Linked DNA regions of Drosophila melanogaster. The protein of the gene in region 1 interacts with the protein of each later gene in a pairwise test. Each region holds a gene or a part of one and is shown on either strand. Other genes may lie near its edges.

Region 1 (4,881 bases):
ATTAGATAATTTGTTATGTTTATCATGAGCCTGTTCTTGTGGTTTCGCTTAGAAAACAGGCGGAGACACAATTAAAATATGCCTTGTCCTAGGACGTCCTGTTTGGCTCATTTGCATGGCAAGTTCTATTGCCGATGTTGATGAGGCGTACCGGTGCACTCAAGTGGCTGTCCATACGGGCTCCTTGCACAACGCTTCATTAACATCGATTTTTATGCTCATTATCGCAGGGACTCCAGGTCGGCTTAGCAGATAAATCCTTCTTTGGAGAGTCCTTGCATATTTCTTCAGCCTGCCAGCTCATTCTGCTCAATTCGGTTTCGGAACGCAGCACTAGTAATATTATTGTATATCAGAAATTTGCATGCGGCCGGCTTTTACAAACATACTCCAATACGAACCAAACACAGGACGACGAGCGGCCATTTTTAGGCTGCGTCCCTTCCCTGTCCCTGTCTCGCCCTGATGCCAGATGCAGGCGGCATGTGCGTATCCTTAATATGCGTAAACTTCACGCTTAATTCTCTACATTATGATGACGTCCTTTCGCTGTTTTCGCTTTTGTTCGTTGGTTTTTCAATTTCTCAAAACTGCAGACCGTTCAAACTGTACCAGGTGTGAATTTCTTTGCTGTTAATAGCTGTTGATTGATTTTTGTGTTTGTATATTGGTAATTGACTTTCGTTGCTCGGAGAACAATGTGCTGGATGTGTTTACTAGTCAGGCTTTTGCTTGTACACAGTATCTAAGCTTTGTTATCCTTCAATCATGAATGCATGATAACCAATGAATGATATTAAAGCTAATCCGCAAAGGGTCATCATTAAATTACATTCCATTCCATTCAATTAATCAAATGCAGAATGTTATGAAAGCCCTGAAAAAAATGAGAGGATAAGGCAGAAAGCTAAAGGAAACTGAGACCCCATAAACATTTCTGTCAAAGAACTAACCTAACTAGCCAGAAGCTAAAGGAGGGTGCAGACTGCAAAATGGGATAAACATATATTGGAAGCACACGACATGGAACTGTGGGTGCTGAAAGTAACAAAACCGGAACGATTGGTACTGGGATGTGGTGCTGGACTTGAGTTTGCGATTGGGCTTGGTCGTGGTCCTCGGCATGTGTCCTGTGCTCCCTGCAGCCTTCACGGTTTAATTGGCTGCCAGCGATGAAATAAAAGTCATACAATTCCCACAATGCTCGGGGACAGCTGCATTCACAGAGTGATCAAGCGAGTGTCGTCAGGGGGGTTGATGTGCGGATGGATTATGGATGCGATGCAGTATCAAAAGTCGGGCGAGCTGAGCCCAGATCCGCCCTGAACCAGCTCAGCCAATCACGTCTTTCGAGGCGTGGCAATTCCTCGATTAAAGCGCGGTCAGCTCACTACCGGCTCTCTCTTTCTCTGCTCGGCTGTGAGGCTTTGATCGGTGCCATATTGTGCCTGGTCGTGGCGCTCCAGTAGGCAGCAACCACCGAAAGGGCGGGCGCGAAAGCTGCTCTCACTCTCCCTCCTGCCAGCATCTCCATCTGCGTCTCCATCTGGCGGTGGTTGTTCGGCGCGAAAACCAGTTTGTGGAGCGATCTCATTGTTTGCCCGTCTGCGGAGTAGTCGTAGTCATCGCCCGGACCGGCCGGCCCTCGTTAATTTATGCTCGCGCTTCTCTTTAGTTGCTTTGCACGTCTCGTGCAGTTTGATCGCTGAAGCGCGCGTGATTCCAAGAAAAATCCCGCTTCTCACCACCGGACTGAGAGTTGCAAAGTACCGTCGGAATCGGGAGCCGCCCGTCGTAGTGATGAAGTGGGTCCTTTGGGCCAGCTTTAAGTGATTTCCCACAAGGAACGACAGCCTACTGATCATAGCTCATTTCAAATATAATTGTGCAATGGTATCGACTCGGATGCACTAACCTACCGAAAATAAAGAAAGTTTTTTGAGTGCAGCGTCGCTTAGATTCTCGATTGCTATAAGCTCTTTGCATTCGGACCATGGATATGTCCAGCGCGAACTCGTTGCGGCCCCTTTTCGCAGGGTATCCCTTTCAAGGTAAGTAATTTCAACATATATCATATCATTTATACTGTGTATTTCAAAAAACTTACCCCTTGAAATCATGCGAGACCTAGACTTGTTTACATTTGAACCCTATTTCCCTCCGACGCCTGAAGAGAATACATTCCCATGAACTCCTTACACGTAAGATAGTACGGTACATATGTATACACTATAATTAAGGAACAGAATCCATAATGTCTTTTAAGCTACACATTAGGTTAAGTTCAGAAGGAAGTGAACGATTCCTACTGACTAATGAATAATAATAAATGATTTGACTTATCAGTGCTTATGCCAATTGATCTAACTTGCCCACAGGACAAGGCCGGGTAAATCAGCTTGGGGGCGTCTTTATCAATGGACGTCCGTTGCCCAATCACATTCGACTGAAGATCGTGGAAATGGCGGCCAGTGGAGTGCGGCCTTGTGTAATATCGCGCCAGCTCCGCGTGTCTCACGGCTGCGTATCGAAGATTCTGAACCGATACCAGGAGACGGGTTCTATTAGACCGGGCGTAATAGGTGGATCTAAGCCCAAGGTGACCTCTCCCGAAATTGAAACGCGGATCGATGAGCTGCGAAAGGAAAACCCCAGCATATTCAGCTGGGAAATACGCGAAAAGCTGATAAAGGTGAGTACCGAGATGCACCTGCAAGGTTGCAGGAAGCAATAAAATGTACCAAAACAAACGATGCGAGGATTTGCAGGACCTGCCGGTAGCCTTAACCGCATGCCAATATGTCCAGATAGAAGAGGGTCAAAATACGCACCGAATGCGAATCAGTTTACTTCCGTTTTCCGAAAAGTCACGTGGCAGTTTCGTACCGCCCGCTGGCTTTGTTATGGCACGTTGCCTATGACACCTACTGGCCTTTTGCATATGTCGGCTGACTAGCTGCACAGATGGCCCAAACTGACCAAGGACCCAGTTTGAACTTGCCCGCTCATTGACAATATTGTTGAACAACAGCGACGACAAATTTTCGCTTGCCACCCAAACCGTTAAGAAATCAATTAAACCATAAAGACACCGCTTCTGTCGTGTTCCTTGTCGGCATCGTTTGTGTTTTGTCCTTGAGGCGAAAAGGTGCTATACGAGAATATATTTATATGATTCTTCGCCGTCGGGACTTCGCTTCCGGTTTTGAGGCGTGAAAGAATCGGTCCTACATCAAAACATTAAAATGGCTCGCATATAAGTTCGTTTCGTTTATTAGATTAACAAAATTTATAATTAACGACATATTCCTTGTCATCTATTCTCTGTTTTAATGTGCCGTCTTACAAACCTAGCCACCTTTGCCAATACTGCGATATTATTTTGCTTCAGATTTGCGTTAAGCTTAAAAGATGAGCACACTTCCCCACACCTTATGTGGCAAAAGCGAAGTCCAACGGGGAAATTGTGTTTCAGCTCATTACTGAACCTACGCCAATATGACTCATTCACAGAGACCAAAAGTCTGGCAAAAGATTTCGGCATACTGCCCACTAGCCGGACCAGCTCCACCGATTCACGCCTGCATGGATGGATGACGGCCGTCTTGAAGTTGATTTTCCCTTTCGGCAAAACTTCTCGACGGTGGAGGGAGTGTAGGGTTTAGGATTAATACAAGCACTAGTGTATTCATGCGCCAGCCTCTTTTGGCGGCATCGTCCCGCTCTTTATTTGAAACCGCAATTAGCCACACTTTATGGGGCGTTAGGATTCGGGCGATCGATACGATCGGACTATAGATCAGAGTCGGCATCACTTCATTCCAAATCCAAAAGATGCGCACTGTGTAATATGCACAGAAAGAAATTTAGGATGGTTTAATTCGCAAAAGTAGTTTTTTAATAAACTAAGTTTTTAGCTTACTATCTTCTTATTTTTTTATGGGAAGAGTGCTGGACTAGTGCTTTATTAATATAAAAAATTAAAAACTGCATTTAAAATTTTATGAATGACAAAAATATGCAATCACATTGCTGTTTTTGTATGACCTCACAATAACAAAAACCGTTAGATCGGGATTTTGATTGTTTTCGGTGTTATAGGCCTTATATTGTGTGCGCTCGCTTTTGCGTGGCAGTAGGCGTAAAAACTGCCTCCAGGTGAGCTTCACGCTTAATTAGAATATGCTTTAGGCATCTCTTGTGTCTTGATTTCATACCTGACCGCGATTACCCCTCCCTATGCCTACCTGATATGACTCGCTTAGTGGCGGCTTATCGACGATCGGGATTTCAGATTTTAAATGTTGTACTTTGGACTTGGTTATGTACAGGCGCTCTTAACTTCGGCTTCCTTTTTAATTCCACAGGGGCTCGTTCCTTGATGAAAATTTCAGTCACCAAATATAATCAAATGTCCCGCTGACAAAGTTCCAGATTCCAAGAAATTTAATTATTAAAAAAACAGAGCGCATCAGTCAGTCAAACTAAAAAACTAGAAAGAGCCCAAACATAATATAGTCAAAAACGCAACACGAATCGGTCATGTATAAAGCGCAGTCAAGTGTCAATCCAACTGTCATCTAATTAATTAAATTTCAATTGAAATTGTAAGCCACAACACGGGCGGATGCAAAAAATGTGTCTCACAGTCGGGGGCTCGACCGAGATCGAGATCGGGATTGGGATTGGGATTGGGATCCAGTTGTCAGTTGCGCCGAGATAAGCCGTCACACATTCCAGCCAAACAACTGGTAGGCCCCAGCCGGAGACCCAACGCGAGTAACGCAACCCAGTTGAAAATCAAAACATTTTTCTGTTGTTGTTTTCATGACACATTCAATAGAAATATGAGCCAGTAGCCAGAAGTCCAAGACCAGTTAG
Region 2 (6,553 bases), about 14 Mb from region 1:
GGCAAACGGGAAAGCAGCAAAAGCAGCCACAGCAACAATAGCAACCACAGCAGCAGCATCAGAAACAAGTTGAAAACTTTAATTAACGCATTTTTACGCAACTGTCGGCAGCAGTTTAACCCTTTTCGTGGCCAAATGCTGAGCAAACACGACAACGGTAATAATTGAAAATCATGGCAATCAAAGCGGAAAGTGTGTAGGGGAATGGAACGGTGTGGAAGGGTGGAAGTTGAGCGGAAAATCAACAGCTGCCGACGGCAACAGCGGAATGTGTAAGAGGAAGATGGTCAAAGGGGGTGTGCGAGAGAGAGGCAGCAGCCATTGTTGTCATGCGTGAGAGAGCAGGGCAGAGTGAGCGAGAAGCGCACAGTGCGAGAGCGAGTGAGACAACTATCTATTCGAAGTTCGAAATTCAAAAGGGGAAATAGATTTGGCTCCGTTCCAGTTTCCAGTTTTTCCAACTTCGACTTTTAATGGCTGACCGCAGACTGGAAGGTGCGTTCGAACCGGTTAAGATCGAATCGAAACGGTTAAGACCACTCAACGGAATTTCAATTTATGCATCTGAGCTGTTCAAATATATTTATTAATTTATATTCGATTCAAGTCCATTTGATACTTATAAAAATGCGCATAAAAATTGAATAAATTTCGGCCCATTGATTGTGGAACAGGTTAACCACGAAATTTGCTCTAAATATGGATTATGGCTTATTGTTTGGGCGTTAGTTTGTTGGCGCGAATTGCTTATGTCACAATTGGCAACAGGAAATGTGGGAGTGTGAGTGGTGGCGAGATTACTCTCTAATTAAATCCTTTGCCCCATAAATCAGTAGCCCACATGGCAACGATCGCTTTTATTATGCAAAAATTAACACAACAAAATCTGCTAGCTATAAGGCAATTCATTAGCGATTTCGTTATTTGATTTCGGTTTTATTCACATCGAACAGATTCGTTGATTTATGAGCTATATATCAGTGGTTATATGTTCGGAATCCCACATCTATACACTATTTGCAGCACATGTTTCACATTTGTAGATCGTCGGTTGATTAGAGCCCCACAAAAAAGCGTTATTGTTAATGTCCAATGCCAAATGGCGTTCGTTTTTAACACCTTCTAAGGTTTATTTTGACAGTTAGCGATGGTTTTTCATTCGCTCGTCTGGCAAATCGATATTCGATGGGCAAATAAATAAATTAAATGTCAATTAAATATCAATCAATTTCGTCAGCTGTTTTTCAAGGCACATTTAACTGGTTAATTGAAGGCCTCAAAAATAAATTGTCATCGTGTATTTAGCGTATTTTTGTGAAAAATCGCAAATGATACTGGTGGTGGGAGTGGGGGTGATAAAAAGTTTCCCTTCATTTAAATTAAAACAATTAGCTTTGCGGTTTTTTTCCTCTCTTTCGATTCCCCCTCTACACATGGCCTAAAGGTGGTGTCGATAAAGTTGTAGGCTGTAGAAAACGCAGATTGAAACGTCGCGGCCGAAAACAAAATCAACAAAAACTAAATGCTTATGAAAAGTGTCTGTGGAAAGAGATGGCATGTGGCTCTCCCCCTCATGGAAAGGCAGCCATTTTCCTGGCCTACTCGCAGAGGGAGTGAACAGTGCCGCTATATGACCCCCACTCGGTAACGCCCCGTGAGAGAGGGAGAGCTTGCGCCTGCGCAGTTCGCTGGGGACACAGTTGTCAACCGGCTGACAGCTCCAGCATGCGCATAATAAAGTCATATTGCTGCCTAACAAGCCCCCCTCGCCAAATTGGCAAGAGAGAGTGAGAGCGAGAGGGAGCGAGCGAGAGAGCGCTCTGGCCAGCTAATAGGAGTGAGTGAGCCGGCGAAACCGGTTCGCATGGGGCAGGTGACAAGGCTAAGAGAGAGCGAAAATCGATCAGTGTAAGGCCGAAAAGACACATCTTCTACTCTCATCTCTTCATGTCACTGTCACCAACTGCTGTCACTCACTCACTCGCTCGCTCGCACACACTTCGCCAGCTACTTGTGGGATCTCGCCCTCTCGCTCCCGCACTCGGACCTCTCTTTCCACCGTGACAGTTCAATCGGCTCTCGCGTTAACTCTCCCCGACGTCGGCGCTGCGATTCCGAAGTAGTCAACTAATTCAGTCGTTGCGCTCGATGTGAACAGACGTGCGTGTCGGAACAACAGTTGCAAATCAAACACGAAAGCATAAGCCAAACAAAAAACACCAAACAGAGAAGAGAATCAGAAGATTCTGAGCAATCAGAAGAATCAGTGGCTCAGTGTCAAGTGACCCAGTGACAAGTGTCTTAAGCGAGTTGCGATTTAGCACCAAGTCGAAACCAATGGCCCTGGAGGATCGCTGCAGTCCACAGTCAGCGCCCAGCCCCATTACCCTACAAATGCAGCATCTTCACCACCAGCAACAGCAGCAGCAGCAACAGCAGCAGCAAATGCAGCACCTCCACCAGCTGCAGCAACTGCAGCAGTTGCACCAACAGCAACTGGCCGCCGGTGTCTTCCACCATCCGGCAATGGCCTTCGATGCCGCTGCAGCCGCCGCTGCTGCAGCTGCTGCTGCGGCCGCCCACGCTCATGCTGCTGCACTGCAGCAGCGCCTCAGTGGCAGTGGATCGCCCGCATCCTGCTCCACGCCCGCCTCGTCCACGCCGCTGACCATCAAGGAGGAGGAAAGCGACTCCGTGATCGGTGACATGAGTTTCCACAATCAGACGCACACCACCAACGAGGAGGAGGAGGCGGAGGAGGATGACGACATTGATGTGGATGTGGATGATACGTCGGCGGGCGGACGCCTGCCACCACCCGCCCACCAGCAGCAGTCGACGGCCAAGCCCTCGCTGGCCTTTTCCATCTCCAACATCCTGAGCGATCGTTTCGGAGATGTCCAGAAGCCGGGCAAGTCGATGGAGAACCAGGCCAGCATATTCCGCCCCTTCGAGGCGAGTCGTTCCCAGACTGCCACGCCCTCCGCCTTTACAAGAGTGGATCTGCTGGAGTTTAGCCGGCAACAGCAGGCTGCCGCCGCAGCCGCTACTGCGGCCATGATGCTGGAACGGGCCAACTTCCTTAACTGCTTCAATCCGGCTGCCTATCCCAGGATACACGAGGAAATCGTGCAGAGTCGGCTGCGCAGGAGTGCAGCCAATGCCGTCATCCCGCCGCCCATGAGCTCCAAGATGAGCGATGCCAATCCAGAGAAATCTGCTCTGGGATCCCTGTGCAAGGCGGTCTCGCAGATCGGACAACCTGCTGCCCCTACGATGACCCAACCTCCGCTGAGTAGCAGTGCCAGCAGCTTGGCCAGTCCGCCACCCGCCTCCAATGCCTCGACCATTAGCAGCACCTCTTCCGTGGCCACCAGCTCGAGCTCCTCCTCGTCGGGTTGCTCCTCGGCGGCCAGTTCCTTGAACTCCTCGCCCAGTAGCCGACTGGGAGCCAGTGGATCCGGAGTCAATGCCAGCAGTCCCCAGCCGCAGCCAATCCCGCCGCCATCCGCCGTTAGCCGAGATTCCGGAATGGAGTCCTCGGATGACACGCGTTCCGAGACGGGATCCACCACCACAGAGGGCGGCAAGAACGAGATGTGGCCCGCCTGGGTGTACTGCACCCGCTACAGCGATCGTCCCAGCTCAGGTTAGTATCTATGCGATTACCTAGCGTTTAAGTGGGTCAGAAAGAGGGTTCGTCGGGCACCATCTTCAGTGTTGTCAAAACAAGGAAGTCCCAAAGGTTCGTTAAAAAAAAAAAGATGTGAAAATGGTAAATGGTATATGGTTACATGGGGACCACCCTTGGGGAGCGTTATGTTGGCGGCAGCCTTTCAAGCAGCTCTGTTTTGTGTCATAAATCCGAAGGACACTGCCACAATTAGGCGACACGCGGACAATGGCAATGAGCCCGAATCTGACTCCCATTTCTATAACCATGCCCATTCCCATTCCCATTTCGTATCCGAATCCGAATCCGATTTTGGGCCTCACGCAGTGCTGCGCTGCTTTTGAAGAGCGACACTTTATGTGACAACATGTAGCGCAGAGCCAGCGCTTGTCTATCGGAACTGTTAGATCCTCAGGTCGAAGGTCACCGCTCACGCACACACGCCACGCAGAAGCCGAGACCCTAAAACGCGCTGACGATTGACAGGGGAAAAGTAGGTGCGGGGGAGATATGATGGCGGGGGAAGCCCCTTCGAAAGGAGAAGAGTTTTCCATTGACAAGCGGAGATTTTCCTTGCAGCTCTTCTTAGATCGTGTGTTAATTGACGAGTTAAGTGCTTTTTTATGGTCGGCAATGGTTTTTTAATTTGGTGTCGATGCAATCGATGGCAGCCCATAAGCGAGGCGTTGATGGCCCCACTCCGCGGCTAGGAATTAATCAAACGATCTCCACTTACTGGCGGTCAATTAAATTATAATTTACAATGTGTGGAAATCTAATAAGCACTACGGATTGCTGCGGTGCCGCGTTGCCAATTAGCCGGTGACTTGGACTTAGTCGCTAATTAGAGAGTTGGCTAGCTGGCAAATCATTTGCCTAAAATATGCCGTAGACCTTTGGGTTCGTTAACTCGCCGGAGTTCTACTCTTCTCTTGCGCTGACAGCTGACAAATTGAACACTTCCCCGCCAGCACGCGAAAGGGAGCTCCAGCTCCGGCCGAGGAATTCCGCCCAGACATATGCTAATTGAATCATTAATATTATTAATAGTATGTGGCGCATTTATGCAAATAGAACTAACGTATTTCTCGTGTTTTTGTTTATTCCAGGACCCCGCTACCGCCGCCCCAAACAGCCAAAGGACAAGACCAACGACGAGAAGCGTCCACGCACCGCGTTCTCCAGCGAGCAGTTGGCCCGCCTTAAGGTGAGATTCAGTTCTTTTTTCCATATATGGTTATATGGTTATACCAATATCCATCCATATCCATATCCAATTGCCCTACGCTTGTTGTGTCATATTTGCACCAAAATATTGACACCGCCCGCTGCTAATGCATCCTGGCAATGTGGTGTCCCGTCCGTACTTAACCAATCAGCCACGCTCGGCCGAAACCGCAAATAATTGATTTTCCCTACCTGACTATACAACATGGATATCCTTGCCATCCGAAACTCATCCAGCATTCCATTTCTTCCACTTACAGCGGGAGTTCAACGAGAATCGCTATCTGACCGAGCGGAGACGCCAGCAGCTGAGCAGCGAGTTGGGCCTGAACGAGGCGCAGATCAAGATCTGGTTCCAGAACAAGCGGGCCAAGATCAAGAAGTCGACGGGCTCCAAAAATCCGCTGGCACTGCAGCTGATGGCCCAGGGATTGTACAACCACACCACCGTGCCGCTGACCAAGGAGGAGGAGGAGCTCGAGATGCGCATGAACGGGCAGATCCCCTAAGCGCTGACCAATGGTTACCCATAAGGGGTTACTCCTTCTGACGGGGGCGTGCAATATTCGAGGGCGTACAAATGGTTTTCATGTGATATAATTGTAGCGTACATATGTTTTTGTATATATCTCTAAAAATATATATATATATACGTATAATCCTAACCTAGAGTAAGACCCATCCGTAGCGAATTCGAGCTGTAAGTTGTTGGCGTATTTATTTAACCACCCCTGGATAGCCGAAAGTATTATCGTAATCACCCGACACAAAGCCTATCGCTATCGCCGCACTTCAAAAGCTTCGACCTTCAGACGTTTATTCCTACACAAAACACTATCTATAGTTATTACTCCCTATAAATTACGCGCTTGCAACCGCTCTGTAAATTAAGTAACTTAACAGTTCCCTAGCTTAATTCCTAGTTTACACACTTAAGGATTGCTATGAAAGAGTATTTTAGTTTCTAAGCGAAATGTTAACGAGCAACTAATAGCTGGCAAATGCACCTAAGAAAATAACAACGAAATGTTTGTGCTAAAGCAAGTTCATGAAAAGAAAATTAAAAACAAAATAAAAGAATTATGGAAAAAAATTAAAATGCAATTGGTTTCCTCTGGGAATTGGAAGTCTGCTACATTAAAGGAAAATATGCCACCCATATATCGGAGGACATGCGGTCTAATCGGTGGCCTTATTTGTACTTTGTGTAGGGCGCCATTATCTTCTCTACGCTTTTTCATCTGTCACATCAAAGGCTATAGAACATTAAATCACGAACACTTGTCGTCGGGCGAGGGTGCCGCTAATTGCACAATCACATTCCGAACCAAAATCGGAGGCCGTCGACGAGTAACGGCAGCTCTTGCTCTTCGATTCCATTCCGTTTAATTAAAGCCAAATCCGCGCGTAGTATAAACAAATATCTGTGACGAGACAGAAGCCCAACAAACAGAAAGAAAAAAAAAAATGCAAAACTAAAGCGGCAGGGAGCAGTCATCAAATGATTTATTGGCACAGATCTCGCGGCGAGCGGCGTTAATTTGCTGAAAATAAATGCAAACGCGAAATGCAATGCAAAATTGTGGGAGGGGGCGGGATGAGCAGCTGACATTTACTGGCAAGCGTTGATGTGCACATACAATACACACACAC

Evidence for each region.
Region 2: the proteins of gsb-n (region 1) and en interact in a two-hybrid assay, tested with the Drosophila melanogaster proteins (one study listed by BioGRID).

Annotation. Positions count from the first base shown.
Region 1 is NT_033778.4:25,049,121-25,054,001, reverse strand, and holds the start of gsb-n (gooseberry-neuro), read left to right. Parts: upstream 1-1,670; 5' UTR 1,671-1,993; coding exon 1,994-2,051; intron 2,052-2,378; coding exon 2,379-2,692; intron 2,693-4,881.
Region 2 is NT_033778.4:11,523,455-11,530,007, reverse strand, and holds en (engrailed), read left to right. Parts: upstream 1-1,797; 5' UTR 1,798-2,337; coding exon 2,338-3,649; intron 3,650-4,782; coding exon 4,783-4,880; intron 4,881-5,160; coding exon 5,161-5,409; 3' UTR 5,410-6,002; downstream 6,003-6,553. UniProt on the Drosophila melanogaster protein: This protein specifies the body segmentation pattern. It is required for the development of the central nervous system. Transcriptional regulator that represses activated promoters. Wg signaling operates by inactivating the SGG repression of EN autoactivation.